Lonchura striata: one gene and its partners. The protein of the gene in region 2 interacts with the protein of the main gene of each other region in a pairwise test. Links are inferred from orthologs where the notes say so. Each region holds a gene or a part of one and is shown on either strand. Other genes may lie near its edges.

Region 1 (3,743 bases), on a different chromosome or scaffold from region 2:
GGGCTCTGAGCGCTGCCCCCCAGGCCGGGGCCGAGATCTCCACGGTGCACCCCGAGCAGTACGCCAAGCGCTTCCTCGACTTCATCACCAACATCTTCGCCTGAGGGGGCCCAGGGGCCCCTCCCGCGGGACCAAAACCCCAAAACCCCACGGCACGCCCTGCCCCCCCCCAGTGGGGCTTCACTGCTCAAGTGCCTTAACTCTGTGTGCGGGGGTCCCGGGGGGCTCTGGGGTGCCCCCCCCGCACAAGGGGCTCTGGGACCCCTCCCAAAGCTGGGGGGGGGGTCAAACACTACTTGCCCCATGGGGGGGTGAAAGGGACCCCCCGGTCATGGCTGCCCGGGTGGGGTGCAGCCCCCACCCCTCTTCCCAGGGAGGCTGGGGGACGCTCCCTGCCCCCCTCCGCGTGGGACCTGGGGGGCTCCACAGCTCCCCCCCTTTTTGCAGCTCCCGGGGGGCAGGGGAGGGGAGGACCCCGGCCTGGTGGGACCCCCGGGGGGGGCGGGACGGGACCCCCGCCCCCCATTTGTGGGAGTGTCGCGTGTCGTGTCCCCCCCCAACCCCGTTTGTGGGGCTCCTTCCCGTGCTCTGTACCGAGAAATAAATTATTGAACCGGCCCCGCGTCTGCCCGGTTCCCTGTGCCCCTCGGAGCCCCCTGCGCCCCCAACCCCGGCTCCCCCTTTCCTCTCTCCCTGCGCCCCCCAACCCCGGCTCCCCCTTTCCTTTCTCCCTGCGCCCCCCAACCCCTGCTCCCCCTTTCCTCTCTCCCTGCGCCCCCCAACCCCTGCTCCCCCTTTCCTTTCTCCCTGCGCCCCCCAACCCCGGCTCCCCCTTTCCCGGGGACCCCCAGTTCCCGGCTGCAGGCCACGCCCCCGCCGCTCTGGCCACGCCCCCAGACGCGTCGCCCCGCCCCCGTTGCCATGGTGATGCTCCGCCCCCGTTGCAATGGCGGCCCCGCCCCCGTTGCCATGGCGACGCTCCCCCGTTGCAATGGCGGCTCCGCCCCCGTTGCCATGACGACGCCCCGCCTCGGTTGCCATGGCGGTCCCTCTCCGCCCCGTTGCCATGGCGGCCCCGCCCCCGTTGCCATGGTAACGCTCCGCCCCCCGTTGCCATGGCGGCCCCGCCCCGCGCGGTCACGTGAGCCGCCGGACGCGCCCGCCATGCTGCGCCCGCCCGGGCCCGGTGGGTGCGGGACCGGGACCGGGACCCGGGACAGCGGCACCCCGGCTCCCCCCGGCTCCCCCCGGCTCCCCCCGGCCTCCCCGCCGCGCCCCCGCCCCGGCTCGGCCCCGCCATTCGCCCTGCCCGCGCCCCCGCCCCGGGCCTGCCTGCACCGCAGCGACCCCCGGGCCCCTCCCCGGGCCTGCCCGATCCCCTCGGGCCTTACCGGGACCCCCGAACCCCCCCGGGCCCTATCGGGACTCACCGGCTCCCCCTCGGGTCTCATCCGGACCTTCCCCGGGCCTGCCCCGGCCTCCGCGGGACCCCCGGGCCCGACCTGTCACCGCCGGGCCCGCCCGTCCGCCCCGGGACCCCCGGGCCTGCCGTGCCCCCCCCGGGACCCCCGGGCCTGCCCCGGGACCCCCGGGCCTGCCGTGCCCCCCCCGGGACCCCCGGGCCTGCCGTGCCCCCCCCGGGCCTCATCGGGACCCCCCAGCTCCCCCAGGCCTGTCCCCCCCATTCCGGGCCCATCCCCCCCCGCGTCCCCCGTGGAGCCCTCGGGGGGATGGGGGTCACCGGGGGTCACCGGGGGTCACCGGGGGGCACCGGGGGGACCGGGGGGCACCGGGGGCCGCGGCGCGTTCATCCCCCCCGGTCCGCGGGCCCCACCTCGCAGCGAGGGGAAAACGGGTCTGGGGGGGCCGGGGACCCCCGGAGCCGCTGCCCCCCCGAAGGGCTGGTGGGGGCTGGGGGTGCCGCGGGGTCCCCTGGGTGCTGCCGGGTCCCCTGGGTGCCGTGGGGTCCCCTGGGTGTCACGGGGGTCCCCTGGGTGCCGCGGGGTCCCCTGGGTGTCACGGGGGTCTCCTGGGTTCCGCGGGGTCCCCTGGGTGCTGTGGGGTCCTCTGGGTGCTGTGGGGTCCCCTGGGGACACGGGGGGTGGTGGTGCTGTTGTTTTTGTAGGGTGCCGTGCGGGGGGGGTCCAGAGGGGTTGAGGAGCCCCCCCAATTGGGTCTGGGGGTGGAGGGGCCCATCTGAGACCCCCCGTGTCCCCCCGTGTCCCCCCAGCCCCGGGCTCGTGGCTCTGCTGATCGCCTCGGCTCCTGTCCCCCATGGGCTCACCAGGTGGGTGTGGGGACCCCCCGCTCTGGGGACCCCCGGCCTGTGACCCCCTCCCCCCCGTGCCCTGGGGACCCCCTCCCCCCGGGCTGTGGGACCCCCTTGGAGCACCTTCACCCGTGGGACCCCCCCCCGGGTTCAGGGGTGCTGGGGACCCCCAGCCCTGGCCCCACCCTTGGGGGTGACGGTGTGGTGACACCCCCGGGGTGTCCCAGATTCGGGGCACGGGGACAGGTTTGACCCTTGAGGTGGCACCTTGGGGGGGTGAGCGTCCCCAGGGGGGCAGGGGGCTCTGGGACCCCTCAGGAGCCCCCCTGGGTGCCATGCCCGGGCTCAGGCAGCCTGGCAGGGTTTTGGGGGGGTTCACCTTCAGATTTCGCTGGGTTTTGGGGTGACCCGCAGTCCCCAGGCTCTGGGGTCTTGAAGTGCCCAGTGCCAGAGGATTTTGGGGGTCCATGCCCAAACTCAGGTTTGGGGGTGCATGCCCTGGCTCAGAGGGGTTTTGGGGGGCCCGTGCCCAGTCTCAGAGGGGTTTGGGGGGATCCATCCTCAGTGTCAGAAGTTTTGGGGGTCCGTGCTCAATCTCTGGGACTTTTTTGGGGTCGATATCCAGTCTCAGAGGGGTTTGGGAGGGTCCATGCCCAGTGTCAGAAGTTTTGGGGTCCTATGCTCAGACTCTGGGAGTTTTTTGGGGTCCATATCCGGTCTCACAGGATTCTGGGGCTCTGTACCCAGGCTCTGAAGGTCCCATGCCCAGATTTTGGGGTTCAAAGTGCCCCATGGCCAGCCCTTGATGGTTTTGGGGTGTCCCCCCTGGGTTTGTCCTGTCAAGAATGTTGGGGTGTGTGGGGGCCACCAGGTGATGGTGCCAGTGGGGTCCAGTCCCTGGGGGTTTTGGGGTCCCATGCCCAGTCCCTGGGGGTTTTGGGGGTCCCGTGCCCAGTCCCTGGGGGTTTTGGGGGTCCCATGCCCAGTCCCTGGCGGTTTTGGGGTCCAATCCCCAATCCCTGGCAGTTTTTGGGTCCCATGCCCAGTCCCCGGCAGTTTTGGGGTCCCGTGCCCAGTCCCTGGCACTTTTGGGGTCCCATGCCCAGTCCCCGGCAGTTTTGGGGTCCCGTGCCCAGTCCCCGGCAGTTTTGGGGGTCCTGTGCCCAGTCTCTGGCACTTTTGGGGTCCCATGCCCAGTCCCCGGCAGTTTTGGGGTCCCGTGCCCAGTCCCTGGCAGTTTTGGGGGTCCTGTGCCCAGTCCCTGGCACTTTTGGGGTCCCATGCCCAGTCCCCGGCAGTTTTGGGGGTCCTGTGCCCAGTCCCTGGCAGTTTTGGGGTCCCGTGCCCAGTCCCTGGCAGTTTTGGGGTCCCCCAGGGCCGTTCATGCTGTCAGGGATGTCGGGGTGCAGTGGGGCCGCCAGGTGATGGTGCAGGTGGGGCCCAGGCTCAGGAGGTTTTGGGGGTCCATCTCCAT
Region 2 (3,743 bases):
GCTCCCAGACCCTTTGTCCCCATCCCCGTCCCTAAACCCCCAGCTCCATCCCAGACACCATGGTGGCAGGGAGGCACAGCAGGGGACCAGGTCTGGCCCTGGCCCCTCCATCCTCTGGGGAGGGAATTGCCAGGGATGGAAGTGGCCATGGGAGCGGGGCTGGGTGTGCACATGTCCCAAAGCTCCTGTGCCCATCACACGTGGGTCCTGCTGGGGCTCCTGTGCCCATCACACCAGGGTCCTGCTGGGGCTCCTGTGCCCATCACACCAGGGTCCTGCTGGAGCTCCTGTGCCCACACACTGCCTGGGGGCTGCCAAGGCCTCTCATGTCCTTTGCAGCAGCCATACACTGCCCTGCCCAGCGTCAAGATGCCACCCTGGCACCAGGAGCCACCAGCAGGACTCAGCCACCACCCCCTGACACCATTGGTGACCCTGCGCCACCTCCCAGAGTGACGCCCCGACGCGCCCCTCCCTGTTTAAGGGCTGGAGCCAGAGGGAGGGAGGGAGGAAGATGCCACCCTAATTACATCCCTCCCCATTATCCTCGGCAGGTGCTCGCTGAGTCACGGCCACGCAGGTGCCGTAGCCTGGGCGGGTCAGGCGTCCCCATGGATCCACGAGGGGCGGCCACGCCACGCCAGCTGCCCCACACCCACCTTTGCTGAAGGTTTAGTGGGCTCTTCTCCCTACAGCTCATCCCAGGGGGGGGCAAAACCCAGTCCAGCTCCTCCCCTCACCCTGATGCTCTACTCCAAACCTTGCTGGCAGCCACCAACGCCCCTTTTTGTGCCTCCCTGCCCCACACGCACCAAGCGGTGTTCCCACCACCGCTCCCTCCCTTAACCCTCCCTCTATCCTTCGCCTCCTGGACCTCGACCTGCCTCCCCAAATCTCTCCGTCCCTCACGCTTACCCTTAGTCCTGCTCCACCCCGCACAGCCCCCGCAGCCTCCCCTGGCAGCACCCCCTTGCCGAGGGCCACCAGCCCACCCGGGCTCGCGTCCCCTTTAAGCCTCCCCAAGCTGGAATGCGAGAGGAGCATTTCAGCGCCCTGTGAGGTCAGATAAAGACACTATATTTATCTGCCTGGTAACCCGAGCCCTGAATTTCTGCGGTGGTGTTTTTACGTGGCCCCACAGCCCTCGGGCTCGGCCCCCTCCGGCCACTGCGCTCCCTCCCAGCGTGGAGGGGCTGAGCCGGGGGCGTCCTGTCCCCTGCGAAGGGTTCGGCTGCTGCCCATCTCCGGTGCCGGGGCAAGCTCCCCAAGGAGGCAGGACCAGCGCCGAGGGCATCACCGAATGCCTGGCTGGTCACCCCTCGCCGTGTCCTGAGCAGCCATCGGCCACCCGTGCCACATGCAGGTGAGTGCAGGTGGGGACACGGCCCCGGGGAGGGGGACACGGAGACAGACAAAACTGTCCCGCTCTTCCTGCAGCCGGATAACAGCCCGGGGGAGAGGTTTCTCTCCAGGGAGAAGGTTCTGAGTTCACACACAAAATCCTGCCTTTGAGCCACCCTCCCCGGCACCCTCCTCGTTCCCCAGCGTGGGCAGAGCCTCCTGCCCGAGGGTCCCTTCTTTTTTTTGGCACGCACAGACTCAAAGCAGTAATTCATGCCCTGGGTCTTACGTCAGGGTCCCCCGTGGGTTTGGGGTTTTGCTGCCTGGGGGGTGGCCCGGGAGCAGCAGCAGCAGGCTCTGCAGCAGGGTGGGGATGGGTCAGCAGCAGGGAGCGGGGCCAGGGTGGTGACTCCCGGCTGTGTGGGGTGAGCCTGGGGGTTCCTCAGGCCCAGGGCTGGCAGGGGAAGGACCCTGGCCAGGCTGGGTGAGTCACCTTGGGCAGGGCTTGTCACTTTGTGGGGTGGGAGTGGTGGGGAACGCAGGAGCCAGGCTGTGCCAGAGGCACTGCAGTCCCCATCTGTCGAAAGGGTCACTCCTGTCCCCTCCAGGGAGCAAACATTTTGTGGCTCATTCCCTCCAGGGCTGCTCGGGGTCAGCCTTCCTAGAGGGAAATGGATACCTGGAGGGATTCTGTGCCTTGTTTCCCTTGGGGAATGGGCAGGAGGCTGTCCCACCTCGCTCAGCTGGACACAGAGCCCCTCAGCCCCAAAGCACTTGTACTCTGGAGCGTGCAAAGTGCCTCACACAGGGTCCCCTCTCTGCCTCCACCACGGCAGAGTCCCGGGAGCCCCCACGTAACCTCAGGCCGGGACATTGTGTCTCAGGGGACGGCTCTGAGCCTGCGTAAGCGAGAAGCAGCTGTGCTGTGACACCTTGGATGGAGCCAGCGCTGTGTAAGCTGAGCCGAGCCCGCTCTGGGGCTCCGTGGCCACCGAGGGGGACAGCTGCCACCGGGCACGGGCAGGACAGAGGGGACACCTGCCACCGGGCACGGGCAGGACGGCAGCTGGGGACAGAGCAGGCCTCTGCTTTTCTGCCTCAGAGTGAGGGTTTTGCCTCCTCACTTTGAGCTGAGATTCCCAGGGAGGGCAGGGCAGGACTCCCCAGCGCCCCGAGCAGCCCCGTGTGTCCCGCTCCCGTGTGGTGGCACCGCTCCCGCCGGGCCCGTGAGCGCAGACCGGACATTCCTGTGCCTCAGCTTCCCCTGACAGCCCGGGAGGATGATGAGGGTGCAGGCGGCCTGACTCAGCCGTGCTGGCCCCAGGGCTTTGCCAGGCAGCAGGAAAGCTCAGCACAATGACGGGTAGGGAGGGGCCAGGCAGCCCAGGAAGCGCTGGGAGGAACCGGGGTTTTCTCACACCCCCTCAGCTCCTCTGGCTCCTGGCACGCTGTGCTCTCCCACCGCCCTGGGGTCCGCTCGGATGTGACATGGGGACCTGGAAGCACAGGCAAGCCTGGCAGATGTGACATTCCTCCATGGTAAGGCCTCTCTTCCCAAGGAATGGGATAGCTCCCGTGGCCGGGGCCGGTGCCCGCTCCTGACCCTGCATCCCTCCATCGGCTGCTCCGCATCCCCAGGGCAGGTGCTGCCCTGTGGAGACCTGTCCTGCTGCCAGGAGCACCTGCTGCCCTCCTGCTCCCAAACTTGTGCTCTCCTGGCACTGCCGGTGCCAGGAGAGAGCGTGGGCACCTGGCAGGGGATGATGGCATGGGGCTCTCCTGGCACTGTCCCAAGCCAAGATCATCTCTGCTGGCGACGAGGATGGGGAGTAGGGGCAGTCCCTGTGCCAGGCTGCTCCGTGCCCCAGCAGGGCAGGCAGCCAGGCATGTGCTCCCTGGGAGCCCAGGGGCTCCGTCACTCCCATCCTGGCACTCAATGCCAGTCTCCTGGCTGGGGTCCCACTCCCTGTCCGTGTCAAATGCCGACTGGCAGAGCCCCGCTCCTGGTGAGGGCGGCCGCAGCCAGGCTGGGAAGAGCCAGGTGTTCCGTGGCTCCCGTGCCCGGGAGCAGATTATTCACCCTTCAGCCTCCGTCCCCAAACAGGTCTGTGCGCTCCACCTCGCTGCTGCTTGTAAATATTTCCCTGTCCGCGGTGGGACGGCTGCTCCCTGGGCAGCAGCAGCAGCGGCCGGGACAGAGCCAGGCTGCCCGTGGGAGCCCACGGGGGCTGCTGCCGTCCCTCACCGCCCCTCCCTGAAGCATTCCCGGGGCGTTTCCACGCGGAGCCCGCGGGGCTCGGAGCAGGAGGCTGTGTCCCCGCAGGGCCAGGCAGGCGGTGACCCGCGGTGGCTCCTCGTGCCTCGTCCCCAAGCCCCGGTGGCACCCTCGGTGCTGCAAGGGA
Region 3 (3,743 bases), on a different chromosome or scaffold from region 2:
ATGCTATAATCCCTGGTTATTAGGGACCACTTGTAACAATGGACATGGGGAAGATGCAGGGGCTCAAAGAGCACTCATGCTTGTGCTAACTGCAAACTGAAGGGGAAAAAAAATATACTATTTACACATCTGGAGGTTCTGAGTTGCAGCCAGGGTTGGGTGTCCCTCAGCCTCACCGAGGCAACCTCAGCCACAATGAATGTGCTGGAGCTTGCAGCACATTCCCGAAGCTTCTGCCAGGGCAGCTGTGGAGAAGCAGAGCCGGGGTGTTAAACACAGCCTTGGCAGGCTGCAGGGTGCAGATAGACCTGAGGGGAGCTGGATCTGAAAGGGCCCCGAAGGGGGGCCGGGAGATGCCCCGGGAGGGCCCAGGCTGTGCCCAAGGAGGGCTGAGACAGGGCTGAGAGGATGAGGTGGGGCCGAGCCCAGGCTGCTCCGGAGTAGGCCGGTCCCAGCTCCCCGCGCCCGCGGGGATGCTCGGAGCTGTCCGGGCATCCCTTCCCTGCCGTGATAGCCAGAGCTGTCCGGGCATCCCTTCCCTGCCGCGATGCCCGGAGCTGCATGGGCATCCCTTCCCTGCCGCGATGCCCGGAGCTGTCCGGGCATCCCTTCCCTGCCGTGATGGCCAGAGCTGTCCGGGCATCCCTTCCCTGCCGCGATGCCCGGAGCTGCCCGGGCATCACTGGGGCGAGGTCCTGCCCGTGCCGCTGAGGCCATCAGAGCAGTGAGGGAATGAATGCCTGCATCACTCCGGGCATCCCCTCCCGGCGGCGGTGCCTGGACCGCTCCGGGCGTCGCCTCCCCGCCGCGGTGTCTCCGCGCTCCGCCCCGTCCCCGCCCGGCGGCCGCACCGCCCGCCCTCCCCGCGCATAAATATCGAGGTGCGGGCGGTGCCCGCCGCAGAGCCGTCTCCGGAGCCCCCGCAGCCATGAGCTCGTACGGCTACGACCCGTTCTTCCCGTCCTACAAGCGGCGCTACGCGGACAGCCCGCGCATCCATGTGTCGGTGCGCAGCGGCGGCGGCTTCGGCTCGGCGCGCTCCGCGTACTCCAGCCTGTCCGCGCCCGTGTCCTCCGTGTCCGTGCGCCGCAGCTACGCCGCCTCCAGCGCCTCGGGCTCGCTGCTGCACTCGGTGGACAGCCTGGACCTGAGCCAGGTGGCCGCCATCAGCAACGACCTCAAGTCCATCCGCAGCCAGGAGCGAGCGCAGCTGCAGGACCTCAACGACCGCTTCGCCTGCTTCATCGAGCGCGTCCACGAGCTGGAGCAGCAGAACAAGGTGCTGGAGGCCGAGCTGCTGGTGCTGCGGCAGAAGCACGCCGAGCCCTCCCGCTTCCGCGCCCTCTACGAGCAGGAGATCCGCGAGCTGCGCTTGGCCGCGGAGGAGGCGACGAGCGAGAAGCAGGCGCTGCAGGGCGAGCGGGAGAGCCTGGAGGAGACGCTGCGCGGGCTGCAGGCGCGCTACGAGGAGGAGGTGCTGAGCCGCGAGGATGCGGAGGCGCGGCTGCTGGAGGTGCGCAAGGGCGCGGACGAGGCGGCGCTGGCGCGGGCGGAGCTGGAGAAGCGGGTGGACAGCCTGCTGGACGAGCTGGCCTTCCTCAAGAAGGTGCACGAGGAGGAGCTGGCCGAGCTGCAGGCGCAGATCCAGTACGCTCACCTGTCCGTGGAGATGGACGTGTCGGCCAAGCCCGACCTGTCGGCCGCGCTGCGCGACATCCGCGCGCAGTACGAGAAGCTGGCGGCGCGCAACATGCAGAACGCCGAGGAGTGGTTCCGCAGCCGCTTCACCGTGCTCAGCGAGAGCGCCGCCAAGAACACGGACGCCGTGCGAGCCGCCAAGGACGAGGTGTCCGAGAGCCGCCGCCTGCTCAAAGCCAAGACGCTGGAGATCGAGGCCACCCGCGGCATGAACGAGGCGCTGGAGAAGCAGCTGCAGGAGCTGGAGGAGAAGCAGAGCGCGGATATCTCCGCGCTGCAGGTGAGGGGGCGTGGGCTGGGATGGTCCCTCAGGGGACGAGGGTCGGGGTCCATCAGGGGAGGGGATGAGGGGGTGTGCAGGGCTCGGCAGGTCAGGAGAAGCTGGGGTTTGAAAGGTTGTGAGGGTGATGGGGTTTGGAAGGCTCTGCAGGTGAGGGGATGATGGGGTTTGGAAGGCTCTGCAGGTGAGGGGATGATGGGGTTTGAAAGGTTCTGAAGGTGAGGGGATGATGTGGTTTGGAAGGCTCTGCAGGTGAGGGGATAATGGGGTTTGAAAGGCTCTGCAGGCAAGGGGATGATGGGGTTTGAAAGGTTCTGAAGGTGCGAGGGTGATGAGGTTTGGAGGGCTCTGCAAGCGAGGGGATGATGGAGTTTGAAAGGCTCTGCAGGTCAGGAGAAGTTGGGGTTTGAAGGGTTCTGAAGATGCAAGGACGATGGGGTTTGCAGGACTCTGCAGGTGAGGGGATGATGGGGTTTGAAGGGTTCTGAAGATGCGAGGGTGATGGGGTTTGAAAGGCTCTGCAGGGGAGGGGGTGATGGGGTTTGCAGGGCTCTGCATGGGACAGGGCTCAGGTTTTACAGGGTTCTGCAGGTGAGGGGTTCCAAGGTTTTCTGGGTTCTGCAGGTGAGGGGTTTCAAGGTTTTCTGGGTTCTGCAGGTGAGGGGTTCCAAGGTTTTCTGGGCTCCGCAGATGAAGGAATGGACATTGGGGTGTGAAGGATTCTGGCGGTGAAGGGGTGGATGTTGGGGTTTGAAGAATTCCGCAGGTGAGGGGGGTCAGGGTTTGCTGGGCTCTGCAGGTGAAGGGATGAATGTTGGGCTTTGGAGGGATCTGCAGGTGAGGAGATGTCGGGGTTTGAAGGGTTTTGCAGGTGAGGGGGGTCAGGGTTTGCTGGTGAGGGGAGTCGTGGCTGCAGAGCCTCACAGATGAGGGGATCGGGTTTGGGGGCGTTGTCGGGGGCATCTCTGCAGATAAGGCATCCTGAAATCCCAGTGCAGAATGCCACAGAGCTATAAAGGAGGATGTGGTGTGGAAATACAGACCCAAATCGGGATCTGAATTATCAAAATCATCCCAGACATTAGTTCTGGTACTGCTTATCTAAAGTGTGAGCTGTTATAAAATCAGAATGCAAAATGCCCCTGATAAAGCTCAATATCCATGTGTCCATGTACTGATGCAGCCAGAACTATACCAGAAAATCATGGAATCCCAGAATATCCCGAGTTGGAAGGGACCCGCAAGAATTAACAATGGATATCCCTAAGCTAAAATTTAAAAAAAGTACATAAAGGTCAAAATCAAAATGAAACAAAATACAGATTTCACTGTGCTTTAGCACTTGGGTACCAGAAAATTTGGCTTTTTGTGTTAAATAGAACTGGAATAATGTGGGGTAGAAAACCTACCAAGAAGGTGTTAAATGATGCTGTTTGGCTGAGAGTGGGAGCTGTGCAGTTTCTGCCTGCTAGAGCAAGATTAAATTAAAAGGATTGGAGAAATTCCCTGTGATTATTGCTAGGCTTGAGAACAGAATTTTATGCTGTCAATGTTGTTCCATCCAACAGGATACAATCAACAAATTGGAGAATGAGCTGAGAACCACAAAGAGTGAGATGGCTCGGTACTTGAAGGAATATCAGGACCTGCTCAATGTGAAAATGGCCCTGGACATCGAAATTGCAGCTTATAGGTATGGTGGGGGATGTTTTAATGAGCCAGAACTCAGAGCACTTCCCATTCTCTTCAGGAGAATTCAGGTTAT

What was found.
Region 1: the proteins of USP2 (region 2) and DTX3 interact in binary tests that used the Homo sapiens proteins (3 or more experiments, as listed by UniProt). The link is inferred for Lonchura striata from reciprocal best matches to the Homo sapiens genes USP2 and DTX3.
Region 3: the proteins of USP2 (region 2) and NEFL interact in binary tests that used the Homo sapiens proteins (3 or more experiments, as listed by UniProt). The two-hybrid records come from large-scale screens. The link is inferred for Lonchura striata from reciprocal best matches to the Homo sapiens genes USP2 and NEFL.

The regions. Positions count from the first base shown.
Region 1 is NC_134629.1:5,163,972-5,167,714, reverse strand, and holds the start of DTX3 (putative E3 ubiquitin-protein ligase DTX3), read left to right. Parts: upstream 1-1,140; 5' UTR 1,141-1,186; intron 1,187-2,219; exon of another isoform or gene 2,220-2,230; 5' UTR 2,231-2,274; coding exon 2,275-2,287; intron 2,288-3,743. Other genes in the region: PIP4K2C (phosphatidylinositol 5-phosphate 4-kinase type-2 gamma), read left to right, coding at 24-104. UniProt on the Homo sapiens protein: Regulator of Notch signaling, a signaling pathway involved in cell-cell communications that regulates a broad spectrum of cell-fate determinations.
Region 2 is NC_134625.1:9,114,941-9,118,683, forward strand, and holds the start of USP2 (ubiquitin carboxyl-terminal hydrolase 2), read left to right. Parts: upstream 1-1,127; 5' UTR 1,128-1,363; intron 1,364-3,743. UniProt on the Homo sapiens protein: Hydrolase that deubiquitinates polyubiquitinated target proteins such as MDM2, MDM4 and CCND1. Isoform 1 and isoform 4 possess both ubiquitin-specific peptidase and isopeptidase activities.
Region 3 is NC_134634.1:2,828,358-2,832,100, forward strand, and holds the start of NEFL (neurofilament light polypeptide), read left to right. Parts: upstream 1-892; 5' UTR 893-928; coding exon 929-1,978; intron 1,979-3,546; coding exon 3,547-3,671; intron 3,672-3,743. UniProt on the Homo sapiens protein: Neurofilaments usually contain three intermediate filament proteins: NEFL, NEFM, and NEFH which are involved in the maintenance of neuronal caliber.